2 linked regions of the Stegostoma tigrinum genome follow. The protein of the gene in region 1 interacts with the protein of each later gene in a biochemical or structural test. Links are inferred from orthologs where the notes say so. Each region holds a gene or a part of one and is shown in the gene's direction. Other genes may lie near its edges.

The links.
Region 2: the proteins of bcl2l1 (region 1) and voltage-dependent anion-selective channel protein 1 form a complex in vitro, tested with the Homo sapiens proteins (4 studies listed by BioGRID). The link is inferred for Stegostoma tigrinum from reciprocal best matches to the Homo sapiens genes BCL2L1 and VDAC1.

The regions. Positions count from the first base shown.
Region 1 is NC_081372.1:57,848,562-57,855,933, reverse strand, and holds the start of bcl2l1 (bcl-2-like protein 1), read left to right. Parts: upstream 1-4,351; 5' UTR 4,352-4,573; coding exon 4,574-5,044; intron 5,045-7,372. UniProt on the Homo sapiens protein: Potent inhibitor of cell death. Inhibits activation of caspases. Appears to regulate cell death by blocking the voltage-dependent anion channel (VDAC) by binding to it and preventing the release of the caspase activator, CYC1, from the mitochondrial membrane.
Region 2 is NC_081366.1:29,524,481-29,531,486, reverse strand, and holds the start of voltage-dependent anion-selective channel protein 1, read left to right. Parts: upstream 1-3,990; 5' UTR 3,991-4,101; intron 4,102-7,006. UniProt on the Homo sapiens protein: Non-selective voltage-gated ion channel that mediates the transport of anions and cations through the mitochondrion outer membrane and plasma membrane.

The DNA.
Region 1 (7,372 bases):
TGCAGGACACTGTCATCTCATAAGCACTGATGTCATTCAGAATGACATACCATGTTGTAGAATAAGTGTTCGATGAAAAAGCATTATCATTCTCCATGTCCAAACATGACTAAACATTTGTATTCAGTAAAGCTGTAAATTCGCAATTTACGGGATCCAGGCATTACTGTATTCCATTGAGACAATTCAGGATTTTCTCATCAAGGGATGACAGAAGTGTTATTAATATTTGTAGATATGAGTTTGGCAGATAAGATGATTATATGGAAATCAAATATACAATTTGCTCACCACTCTTCACAAAAATTACAGCTACTGCTAAAGGATGTCGGAATTGTAGGCAAAGAACAGGAAACCCTTGTCAAAAAAATCACATTGCATTGTGATATTAGTATTGAATATTGTAAGACACCACCATGCCTGGTTGTAAGCTCCTACAGTCTGAAATTCAATGAAGTAAAAGTTATGGATCTGAAGATATGGGTCAAAGATCAGAACGTCTATTAGATTTTGTAGATATGGTGACCAGGTTTACCATACACACAGTGATAAACAATAAGGGTAGGTGGACGATAGCGTAAAAAGACATGGAAAAGTGGGCCAGTACAGTCCTTGGGTCACAATGGATAATGAAGGTGAATTTGCAGATGACAAATTTGGGGACATGTGTGTGAATACAAATATTGTAGTAATGCATATTGTTGCAGAAAGTCCATTCAGCAACGGCTTGCATGAAAGAAACCATCTGATAGTAATGAGGCTCTACACAAAATATTGACAAATCAGTCAATCAGAAAGTTACAAAAAGCACTGGCAATCAGCAGTAAATGCAAAATGTTCTTTATAAATAGTTGGCAGTTTTAGCTCAAACCACTTAGTACATGCTCAGAATGTTGCCTTCAATACTGCATGATGATCCTAGAATATCTGGCAATCAGCACCAGTGTGAAAGCACTCATTAAAGCTGAAAAGGTTGGAGAGCATTGACATACTGCATCAGATGCTTTGGGAGAGATTTCAAATCCAGTGGCATGGTTTATGATAAGCCAGAAGGACACAGCAAATGCAAAGATCCAGCAAATGTTATTGGATGTGACAGGAGAACTTTCACAGGAATCAAACTATAGGAGTACATTACCCATGGCTAGTGGTGATAAGTTCAAAAAGTCATACAGTATGGAAGCAGACCCTTCAGTACAACAGTCTATGCTGACCATAATCCCGAACTAAACTAGTCCCATCTGCCTGTGCTCGGCCCATATCCCTCCAAACATTTTAAACATTGTAACTGTACCTGCATCCACCAATTCCTCTGAAAGGGGGAGGCAATGGCCTCATACTTTCATTGCTGGACTGTTAATTCCAGTGGCCCAGATAGCATTCTGGGGGCCCAAGTTAGAATCCTGCCATGTGCTCCTGAGATGCTGCTTGGCCTGCTGTGTTCATCCAGCCTCACATTTTATTATCTTGGAATTCTCCAGCATCTGCAGTTCCCATTATCTCTGATGCCATCCTTACCTGGTCTGGCCTACAAGTGACTCCAGACCCACAGCAATGTGGTTGACTCAGAACTGCCCTTTGGTTGATTAGTGACGGACAATAAATGCTGTCTAGCTAGTGATGCTCTCATCATGTTAATGAATTAAAAACTGCTCATTCCATACATGAACCAGTCTCTGTGTAACAATATTGCCCTCGTCTTTTTTTAAAATATTTTTCCTCTCAGCTTAAAAATATGACCCCCAGACTTGAAATCCCCGACTCTACAGAAAAGATAACTGCCATTCATACTGCTTATTATTTTATAAACTTCTAGCAGGTCACTTCTCAACCTCCTACGCTCCAGTGGAAAAAGTCCCACCCTTTCCAGCCTCTCTTTATAACCCAACCCATCCATTCCCGGCATTGTCCTGGTAAATCTCTTCTGAACCCTCTCCAGCTTAATAATATCCTTCCTAAAACAGGGAGAACAGAACTGGACATAGTACTCCAGAAGAGGCTTCACCAACGTCCTGTCCAACCACAATATAACGTCCCAACTTCTATACATAAAGGTCTGAGCAATGAAAGCAAGCATACTAATGTCTGCTTTCTATATGTGACACGAACTTCAGACAATTATTTACCTGAAACCCCTGGTCTCTCTGTTCTACAACACTGCCCAAGACCCTACTTTTAATTGTGAAAGCCGTGTCTTTATTTGTTTTCCAAAATGCAATGTCTCACATTTTTTCAAATTAAACTCCATTTGCTACTCTTTAGTACCCAATGATCTCTTGTAATCTTAGATAACCTTCTTCACTGTCCACTTTACCACCAATCTTGGTTTCATCCATAAACTTATTTAAAGTATTTCATTTATTCAAACTTCGTATTTTATATAAATTTTACATATGCAAAATTAGTATTTCTTCTTGCATATATTCACTCTTAATTCAAAAAAACCTGGTTATATGCACGTTAAAAAAGGAGTCAAGTCCATCTGAAAGATAAAGGGATCCTATGGATCCAAAACCCAGAAGGAGTGGCTGGACAAAGTGAAGCCAAGACATTAAGAGTTTGAGATTATCCAATGTGGGAACTTGCCCAGGATCTGGGCATAACAGGCACCAGGTAACAATGTCAGGATCTGAGAAGATCAAAAGTAATGCCTCAAAAGCACTCAAAATCAGTTAGAATTATTCTTGATATATGACAGTGAGGTAGGGCATTTAACCCAACAGGTCCATACAAACATTTATTCTCTACTTGAGACCCTCTCAACTTCAGTACTCATACAGTTATCTAGTCTCCCATTAAAAACAGCTATCATGTTCTCTTCAAAACTCACAGGAAGATGAATTTTCGGACTCTAAGAACATGGGCAAAGGCGTTGCCGGCAAAGAACCAGGTACTTTATGTACCCGTGAGTTCTACAAATTGGTGCTGAGGGGCAGGACCTAAGGGCTCAGGAAATACACACTGATAAAAGCACCAATCATGATGAACATGAAGAAGTTATCTCATGTGGGGATCATTTTCCCAAAATAAGTTCACAAGTGGTTAACTTGCCACTGATTCAGCTGAAGTAGGGTGCCACAATAGTGGGACGTGAAGGCAAATCTGTGGGAAAATATAAATATTGGCTAAATGGCCAAGACGAGCGACATGATCGATATGATCGGTATGACGGGTCGGCACAACATCGAGGGCCAAAGGGCCTGTACTGTGCTTTAATGTTCTACATTCTATGACATGAGGCTGTGGATTGGTAACAGGCAGTATGAGAATGAGAATGGAGAAACCCAGTTCCAGTTTGAATACTGATTCAGAAAATACATTTAGGAGGATAAAGCCAGATGCAATAATGAGGATTTCTGGCAGACATCCTCATAGGAGTATAGTGCAGAGAGATCCCAATGTTAGAATAGAAACTGCAGCTAAACAAGATGACTGGATAGCAAGGATAATGCAGACCTTCCTGGAACAACAGATAAAAGTCAATGTCCTCATGATCAGAAGATGTTTGCAGCTACAGTTAAATCCCCAAACCCTGACCACCATCTACAAGGCACAAGATAAACTAAACATTGTCTCTTAACACTCAATGGCATTACCATCACTGCAATCTCTACCAACATCTCCTGGGTCACCACTGGCCAGAAACTCAATTGGAGTAAGGTTGTAGGTTTGCTCACCGAGCTGGTGTGTTTGATTTCAGACGTTTTGTCACTCTGCTAGCTAACATTGTCAGTGCACCTCTGGTGAAGCTCATCTGAGCTACAAATCGTCTCAAAAAATTTCAACTGGAGTAAACCCTGTAGCTACAAGGGTAGGCCAAAAGCTAAGGATTCTGCAGCGATTAATTCACCTCCTGGCTCCCCAAAGTCTGTCCAGCACCTACAAGGTACAAGTCAGGAGTGTGATGGAATACTCCCCACTTGTGGATGAACGCAGCTCCAATGACACTCATGAAGCTTGACACCATCCAGGACAAAGCAACTCACTTGATGGGCACCACACCCACAGACATCCATTCCCTCCACCATCAGTGCTAAGTAGCGGCATTGTGCCTTCTACATGATGTTATACAGAAATGCGCCAAAATATCCTTCAACAGCACCTTCCAAATCCACATGAAGACAGACAAGGGTAGAAGATGGATAGGAACACGGCCTGCTGCAACTTCCCTTCCACCCTAACTAAGGTCGTGTTAGCGGGGGGTCGTAGGGTACGGCGCTGCGATAGTGACTGGAGCCCGGATAGGCGGGTAAATGTGGGGCGCAGTCTCCGTGAGCAGGGCGGGCCCAGGAGGCGGTGCCTCATGTGTATTAGGCGGGGCCTATAGCGGGTCGGTGTCCCGGCAGAAGGCGGTGGTCCCATGGGGAATGGGCGGGGCCTATAGTTGGGCAGGGTACCGGTAGAGGGCGGGGCCTTAGCAGGGCGGTGACCCCCGCGGTGGGCGCGGCCCCGTGGTCAGTGGGCGGGGTCTCAGGCCCGGTCCCAGTGGGTGCGGGGGGAAGGGGCAGGCCTCGAACAGAGAATCTCTCGTGTCCGTCATGCCGGCTACTGGGTGAGGTGCCGACGCTGCAGGATGTACAGTAGTGGGGAGCTGGTCGCTGATTTCCTTCGTTATAAACTGTCCCAGAGGGGCCACAACTGGAGATGGCTTTGTGAGCAGAATGGAGCGGCGGGCCTGGGGACACAGCCCGAGCCCGGAGCGGCTGTGTGCAATGGCAGGCCCGAGGCTGAGCGGGCCCGCCAGGCCCTGTTGGATGCCGCTGAGGAGTTCGAGCTGCGCTACCGCCGGGCTTTCAGCGATCTGTCGGCGCAGCTCCGCGTTACGCCGGACACGGCATACCGGCGCTTCGAGCAGGTGGTGGGTGAGCTGTTCCGCGACGGCGTTAACTGGGGCCGGCTGGTGGCTTTCTTCTGTTTCGGGGCGGCCCTGAGTGTGGAAAGCGCCGAGAAGGAGATGGGCGCACTGGTGCCCCGCATCGCCGACTGGATGAGTACCTACCTGGAGAACAACCTGGACCCTTGGATCCGGCAGCACGGTGGCTGGGTAAGAGCTCTAGCCAGCTTCATCCACCAGGTCTCTACATTGCAAAGCCTGGGAATCTATACAGTGTACCTGATTCCTAACTCTAGCCCCACGTCGCTCACCTTTCACACTAGGTCGTTGTCCTGTAGTCCAAGAGTCTCTTTCTATCCACACATGGTATCTGACTCCTTATTCCCTAACCACAATAACCCCTCACCCTCTGATCCTGAACCCTATAAACCCTCATCCTCCACATAGAATCCTGACTGTTAATCCCTAAATCTATAACCCTTCATCCTCTACACAGGAAGTCTGACCACTTATCCCTAACCCTATACCCCTTTCCCCTTAGATACGCCAACCCTGGCTTAACACTAAAGAGCTTTTGGCCCTGACTTCTGTAGAGAGCTGGCAGACACTGGGCTGAATGATCATCCTACTTTCTGTGTGATTCAGAGATTCTACCTCCATGGCAGCGTTGGTCCGAGTTTGCTAATTTCTGGAAAATGTTTAAAATCACTGAATTTAACCGATAAAATGGAGAGACCCCATAATCCTAGCTTGCTGTGATACTCCATCACACTGTTATTTCTTGATGCAGCACATTTGACTTTGCGCACTGTATTGAGAAGGATTTCCACAATTTATTTGGGTAGTTAGCATTTCTTTGAAAGAATATGAGAGCTAAACCTAAACTCTAGCATCCCAGTGAAGTTTGGTATTGAATAGATAGATGTGTTTAATTCTTTAGGGCTTGTGATCTCCAACTTTGTTTTGGTTTTGTGGGCTGTTTTGAAATTGGGTCTTCTGAGCAGCATACCCTTAATTGATGGAGAAATTTTCAATCCATGATCACTTGGACTTTAAATTGGGCCATGAGTGAGAAACTTGCAAAATGCATCAAGACGGCAATGTGCTGGTCAGGTAGTCAAACAGAATTCCATCTACAGAAATGAGAGTTATTAGATTTTGGGAGGGCAAAGAAATAACAACAGCTGATGGGACATTGTGAAGTTTGTGGAAAAAGAGAGACTTTTGAGTACGTTCCACATAATTCTGATTTAAAAAAAACATGAGTAGTCAATAAATTAGCAAAGAATGTGTATGGAATAACTTCCTTATTAGCCAAAGCCTAGAATATTTGAGGGAGGGTGTTTGCTTAAATTGTATATAGCTGTGGTTAGTGCACTGTGTACAGTTCTGTGATCACATTGGAGGGTTACAGAGAAGAATTACAAGGGTGTGACAAGGAGTGGAGAATTTCAGCTATGAGGAAATGTTTCCATTGAATAGAGGCAACCATGGGAAGATTTAATTGTGATGAAAAGATAGACTTGAGGGGTCTAGATTGCGTGGATGGGAAGGTACTATTTCCCTCAACAGCAACTTGAGATCATTGATGTAATTTAGTCAATACAGTGTGGAGTTGGAGGAACACAGCAGGCCAGGCAGCATTAGAGGAGCAGGAAAGTTGATGTTTTGGGTTGGGACCCTTTGCCAGTCCCGATGAAGGACCCGACCTGAAACATCGGCTTTCATGCTCCTCTGATGCTGCCTGACCTGCTGTGTTCCTCCACCTCCACACTGTGTTAACTCTGATGCCAGCATCTGCAGTTCTTGCTGTTTCTCTCAATGATGTAATTTTGTTGGTAAAAGGATTAGAAAGGAAATGAGGAATAATTATGTTGGCCAGAAGATGCTGGGGATTTGGTATTCACTGCCTGGAAGGCAAAGAGGGATAAGCCTTTATCCCGCTTAGGCGTTTGGTTTGCACTTGAAATGCCATAACCTATTAAACTGATCAAGAGCTGGAATGTGGAATCAGGGTGGTGAGCTTTTTTTTTAACAGGACAGAAACGATAAGTCAAATGGCCTTTTGTGCTGTGAATTACAGTCCTAAATTACAGTAATTCTATCTTTTGATCAGAAAGACAGATTTGCATTTCGTTAAAGCCTGCCACAACCTCAGGGTGTCCCAAGCTACTTTACCTCCAATGAAACACTTGGTCATGTATCAGTCAGTTTGAGATATAAGTGAATTAAAGGAGAGAAAAGTTAATTTTTAATGTAGCCCTTGAGACAAGAATGTAACACATCTCTGCAGATGTGAAGAGAGGAACCTCACTGATTGACTCAGCATCTGTGATGTCGTTTGGCCCAAAGTCTGGAGGAGAAGTTGGGCTGTAGTGTGTAAAGATGGAAGTAATTGGTATAATTTGAAATGTGTGTACAATTCTGGTCCGCATCTTTTTGAATATTGATCCATTGTACTCAGAGCTGACCGGTGTGAAGAATGAACCGTATAAACGTTTGTAAGACTGTGTGATTGTTGCGTAGTTTTGAACATGT
Region 2 (7,006 bases), on another chromosome or scaffold:
AGGTGGTCTGATTAGTAGGTTGGCAGATAATGTGAAAATTGGTGGAGTTTTGGATAGCGAGAAAGGTTGTCTACTGGAAACTGAGAAGTTGACAAGTCATGTGGCAGCTGCGTAAAACTTTAGTTAGGCCCCATTTAGAGTGTTGTGTGCATTAATTTTTGCCACATCCTAGAAAGGAAGAGAAGGCTTTGGAGAGAGTTCAAAAGAGGTTTGTCTGGATGTTGTCTGAATTGGAACAGATTAACTATAAGGAGAGGTTGGACAAACTTGCATTGTTTTTGCTACAGCATTTGAGGCTGAGGTATGACCTGATAAAAGTATATAAAATTATGGATAAGGTGAAATAGGTTTCAGGTGAGGGGGAAAAGTTTAAAGGAGATATGCGGGATACGTTTTTTTGTGCAGAGGTAGGCGCCTGGAATGAGCTGCCTGGAGCGGTGATAGAAGCAGATATGATAGCAACATTTAGGAGGCATTTGAACGGACACATGAACACACAGGGTATAGACAGATACAGATCATATGCAGGCAGATGGGATTAGTTCAGAATGTCATTATGGTTGACATATGGTGGACCAAAGTGCCTGTTCCTGTATTGTACTCTTCTATGTTCTAAACTCTAAGCTTAAACATTACAGAAGAGATTTACTGGGTTTTGCAGGCCAGTAAGCCATTAACTCTGAACAGATCCTGAAAAATTACAAAGGTGTCTTTTTACAGATGTTGGATATCTTCCCAATGAATATTATCCCAAAGTAAATGAGGGCGGTGACCAACCCAGCACCTGTCAAGAAAAGTTCCATTCTGAAAGACAACATAGAACTGCTTTAGAAGAACATTGGAAACAAACCTAGAAAGAAGATAGCATATATGGATCCAAAGGATCTCAACAAAGCCTTGAAGTGATATCATTTCATGGTGCCAGCCAAAGGAACATTGCTACAACTTATCAAGACGAAGGTATTCACTACCTTTGATTCTATGGTTGGTTACTAAGAAGTGAAGCTGGATGAAAACAAGTTTTTTTTAAAAACTTTTAAAACTCTGGATGCCATCTGGGAGAGATATTTACATGCATATGCTGTTAGGCACTTGCATTGTCCCAAAAGAGTGTCAATGCTGACAACGTGAGATTATCAGTGACCTTAATGAAGTGCAAGCAATTTTTGATCATATTGTGGAGACAGAACGAAAGAACCCATCACAGATTACGATCAAAATCTGGTGTAATTGCTAGTGTGCTCGCCAGGTGCCTGAATCTGAACAAGAAGATGCAATTGAAGATGCCTGAATTCAAGTACTGTACTGACAGTAAATGCACTTTGCCTGGAACCTGACAAAGTGAGAACTATTTGGGAGAGGCAAGCTGAGAGTGCACTCTGGCCACAACTGCTCTTCCTCAAACTGCTTCTATTCGCAACAAAGAATGCGACTAACTTTGCGAAGATACAAGTTGGGCATGAAAATATAAGCAAGGGAAATGGATATACACTCTTCTGTTGAGAGCTGCATTCTTAATTAAGAAAGTTGAGAATGCTAATGCAGAGGGTGAAATCTTCCAGCTTCAATATGGAGCAACTGTTCTAGAAATCAGCAACCCAGCAGAGGCAATGAATCTGAACTACAAGGGTCTTACTCAAATAAGGTGAATTATACACAAGATGTAACTCTCCAAATCCTGCAGGAAGCAATGATGAAAAGATGGCCTGAAACCATGAAGGACACAGATGTAGCTGTAAGACTATTTGGCATAGAGAGACAAAGAAAGAGCCCAGTACGGCATCTGGTACAAACCAAGTAGTCATTATCCTTAAGGAAGTGAGAAGTATACTGAACCGCATCCATGCTAGCCATCAAGGGATTGAGTCTGGTCTGAGGAAGGCAAGAAAAGCGCTCTACTGGCCAAACATGAACAATGATTACGAACTAAAACCAACACAACGTTTGTAACAAATACCAAGGTCAGCAAGTCAGGGAGACACTGAGGACACATGACATCCGAGGCAGACTATGGGTGAAGCCTGAAGTAGATGTCTTCACTGTTGCAGTGACTGATTACTTTGTTATCATCGATTACTATTCTGACCACTGGAAGTTTGACCAGCTGGTGTTCATGATAATCAGTGAGATTGTAGAATGCCTGAAAGCACTTCAGTCATTACAGTATTCCAGATATTGTCATGAGTAACAATGTTACTCAGTGTTCAGTTGTTTCATAAAGAATTAGAAAATTCAAAAGTATACAATTTCATGCCATCCTGAGTAAAATGGAAAGGTTGAAGCTGCAGTTCAATGTATCAAAGGGATCACAAAGAAATTGAGAAAATTCAGCAGAGTTGTATAAGGCAATCCTTCAGCAAAAAAATACATCAACTGAAGGCACAGAAAGTCACCCAGTCCAAAGATTATTATTATGCACAAAAATTCAAGGTGAAATGGCGGAAAACCAAATTTGACCAAACCAGTTAAAACTGCCAAGGCATGACCAGAGCTGAGTATTAGAGAACAAGTCAGTGTGTAAATCTTCGGCGCTTTCAATAAAAGTCAGCCTAATTACTAAGTTGGGACCTGTGACGAGCAGTTGTCATCTCAATTTGTTCAAGGGAACATGCAACATGCATGTACAACTAGAGAAGTTGTGCATTCACAGGAGGCAATGGATCAGGAAGAATCGATTTCATTATCTACAGAATGGGCATCACTCCTTGAGAGCCACTGTTACCCAGCAACAGAAACGGATTCACAACAAGAGATATCAGGGCAACAGCATCACCACAGGAATGGAACTCCCTGGACAAGCAGTATCAACATTCGAACGAGCACATATCACAGGATCAGCCAACGACAAAGCACACAGAGAATAATGGGACTTGCAAAACGTAAAGACTGCTATTGCAATGCGTACGTAGAGACCGAATGAAGTGACTAGAGTCAGCACACATTATTGTTAATGAATGATAGGTTTATTGCTCACCACGTCTATCGCGGAACTTTCAATTGCAATGACTGTGCGAAAAAGGAACGTTCGAAAAAATGGCATCAGACCGTCCTCCCTGGACTGACATATCTCCCCCCTACCTCCCCAACTACACTCACCTTTACTGGCTCCATCCTCGCCTCTTTAGCTTGTCTGTCTCCCCTCCACCTATCTTCTCTATCCATCTTCGATCCGTCTACCCCTCTCCCCCTCCCTCTTTTCTGATGAAGGGACTAGGCCCGAAACATCAGCTTTCCTGCTCCTCTGATGCTGCTGGGCCTGTTGTGTTCATCCAGCTCTACACCTGGTTATTTCGAAGAAATGTAATTGTGCCCTCACTCTATCAGCTGGCTTGCCACAGTCAGGTAACGTCTACCCATTCTGCCTATGTGAGGAGTCCGTGAGTAACATTAGACATATCCCACTTGAGCCAAAATAAATTCTAAAATAGTAATTTCTCATTTGCTCATACCGCAATGCTTCAGCCCTGTCCGACTTCTCTGCTGAAACTCCACCTAGGAATCATCTCAACCCATTTACGAAATACTTCATCGAAAGCAGGAACACGCCCCTTCTCACTATGCCATTGCGAAGCCAACAGTCGGTTTATTCATAAGCACATGTGTCTCCAGCAGGGTGCAAACGTTGTCACTGACCAGTTGAAAATGTGCCGCAGCAGCGCTCAGTCATTGATAATGGGAACTGCAGATGCTGGGGAATCCAAGGTAACAAAGTGTGGAGCTGGATGAACACAGCAGGCCAAGCAGCATCTCAGGAGATTCAAAATCTCCCCTTCCCCTACTGCATCCCAAAACCAGCCCTCAGTAGAGGAAGGGGAGATTTTGAAGCTCCTGAGATGCTGCTTGGCCTACTGTGTTCATTCAGCTCCACACTTTGTTATCAGCACAACAGTCATTCCCTGGAGCCGCTCCCCTCCGTCGCCGCCCCTCACTGCGCACGCGCCGCCGTTCGCCCGCCCCCTCCCCTTGACTGCGCACGCGCCGTTGACTCCACGTCCCGGGGCATCAGCGCATGTGCAGTCGTTCCCTTTCGGTCAGTGTGTGCTGCTGAGTTGTTCGTTTGGAAATTGTCGGCTGGAAGCTTTCCCTCCCAGCTCTTCAGAGGTATGTTTGTGTAACACCGGCGAGAAGAGGACATGTCAGGTAGTCTATGTTCACAAGGAGAGAGGCGGGAGTGAAAATTCTGGACGTTGCTGGAAAGGGATTTGAGTTTAAAGGCCGGGGCTGGGAGTAGGTGGATGGCATCATGTTTGCCTGTTCTTCTCCAGGGTTACGGTCCGTAATCTACCTCTCTGCCACGAGGTTGAGTCCATGGAATAGCAAAGCTCGTTGAAGGCGTTAACTTATATTTCTTGAGTAGAATCCATGCGTTTGTCTCGCTGGAGTCTGTTGAATGGCGGGTGGAGAGTGACCTTTACCAGCATGCAAGGTTGGGGCACTGACAGCTCTTGCATGTCCTTTGGGCAAAGGCTTTGTAACGCTGTTTGTAGGTAACGCCGCATTTGCAAGCGATCTTCTTTCTGCTTTGTAATAAAAAAGTCTTCCATGTCCGATTTAACATGTATTTTACTTTAATTAGGAACTCTAGTCATAACTATACTCGAGCCTGGCCGTTTGTACCCAATGTGCTGAATATATTTTAGCAACATGTGAAAGCCATGCCAATTTGGAAAGGGCAGTAGTTCCCCACATGTCCTAGGGCTAGAATGACATTTCAAAATGTTCATGTCACAATCTTAGGTTGAAACTTTGAGGCGAAGATATTATGCAAACAGTCTCAAAATTCTCTTCATAGAGAGCACTTGCCTTAGATGCTAAACATTTTCACAACTTCATTAACTCTAGTGTCAGTAATGAACCCTCAGACTGATGAGTATAGATAGTAAACTTTTATTTGATATGTTTAGGGCATTAATTTATTCTTGATATTCATGTAAAAATGGCACTACATGTATTCAGTATCATTGAACATGACTTTCATGCCTGTGTAATGGGGAGAAGGCTGCTCCTCAAATGTTGGCCTTTGCTTTGTAATTTGAAAAACACAATGATAAGGAAACAAATATCAAGCATCAAAATAAATATGCATTGCCTTTCAAGCTTGTTTCCAATATTATGTTTTTAAATGTTGAAAAGTGAGTCTGTTTTGGTTACATGTGCTGTTGGGATTCTTTACCCTAAAAGTTGAGGCATTGCTTAGCTGGGAAGTGATGCTTGGTCTTAAATCAATAAAATATTATACAATCTTTATCCATCTGTTCATATGTTTGAGAGTTTTCTGTACTTGTCCTCCCTTGTGTCAGTTTCCTGAAATAAAACTGCATGAGGACATTGAAGAGCTACTTCAAATTTTCAGAACGTTGTGGTAGGTACTCCTTCAACTTCCCAATGAATTTAATTTTCATGCAAAATGGGATGTTAACTATCACAGAGCGATTATTTTGTAAGCCAGAATTAAATTGTCAAATGATAATTTGTAAGGATTGTGTGGATATCATGTTGCAACTAACCAAGTTGCTACATCCAGTTTATTTTTCATTTTTTGATCTGGGTGTTACTAAGTAGGTTAGAAATATTTCCCTTTTCAACTTGTTGGGAAATGTGATAAAAGGCTTTCATTTTGTAATACTGCATGGTGTTTGAGTCAACTGATTGAGTTGTGATGCCACTTGTTGGAAGTTCACAGTGACTCAAGTTGGTATGGAAATGAATCTACCTACGCAAGTCAGGAGAGGTAAGAACAGAAAACATTTCTTAAAGATGTTACTGAAGCATTTGTTTTTTTCTTTAAAAATGGCAGTGGTACAGTTACTGATACCAGCTTTTTAGTTCCATGCTTTTGTATAAGCTGAATATATGTTCTTCATGCTGGCATGGTATTTAAACAAATGATCTCTGGATTATTAGCCTAGAACCACAGACTATTAGTGTCTACCATTCTAGTATATATACCTATGCAGATATGTTATTGCACTACAAATGCACCACAATTATTGAAAAAAAGTTAACTGCACTGAACACTCTTCACACAAACTCATTTCGAGTCAGGTCCCTTCTTCAGAAATGTCAAGTTCCCTGCTCCTCTGCTGCCTGGCCTGCTGTGTTCTTCCAGCATCTGCAGTTCTTGCTATCTCCGCACATGAAACTCAGCCTGTTTTCTAAGCACAGTACTTTTTTACTTTTGCATTTTCTGGTTTGATGTGTTTTCTTTCTACCGCATGCCAACCAGGCATTCAGGCAGATGACTTGTCCTGAAGCCCATATCAATAATATTGTATAACCTGTTGCAATTTGTGCATAAAAGTAGCATGGGATTTTTCCATCTGCTTGACAGGGCAGATAAGACTCGGTTTAACAGTGTAACCTCCAGCAGAGTAGTATACCCTCTGCACCACATTGAAGTGTCAGCTTAGATGATGTACGTAAAACAGGATATAAGAAATTGAAGTAGAAATATGCCATTTGACCCCTCAAACCTGCTTTAATATTCAGTAAGATTGGGGCTGATTTGACATAATTTTAACTCTTTTCTCCGAGCCCCCATGGTCCTTCTGTGAATCAAAAATCTTTAGTTCAGTTTCAAATCTTTTTATTGACCCAACCTCCATTATTTGCTGAGGTGGAAAGCTCCAAATACCAGCAACCTTCTGAGAGGAGAAATTCTTCCTTACCTTCATTTCAGATAGGAGATTTCTTATTTTTAAATTTTGCCCCTTAGTTCTAGATTCCCACAAGGGAGTCCTGCCACTGCCATGTCAAACCCTGTCAGAATTTAACAAGGTTCAATTAGATTACCTCTCATTCTTCTAAATTCAATGAGCAAGGGGCCAATGTGCTTATCTTGTCTTCCATAAGTTAAACCCTTTATCCAAGAATCAGCCGTGTAAGCCTCCCCTGAACTACTTCCACTGCAAATATGCTTCTCCTTGAGTAAGGTGCAGAACTGTACACAATATTGGAGAGAGTAGTTTCAGCAGTACTCTGTACAGTTGTATCAAAATGCTCTACT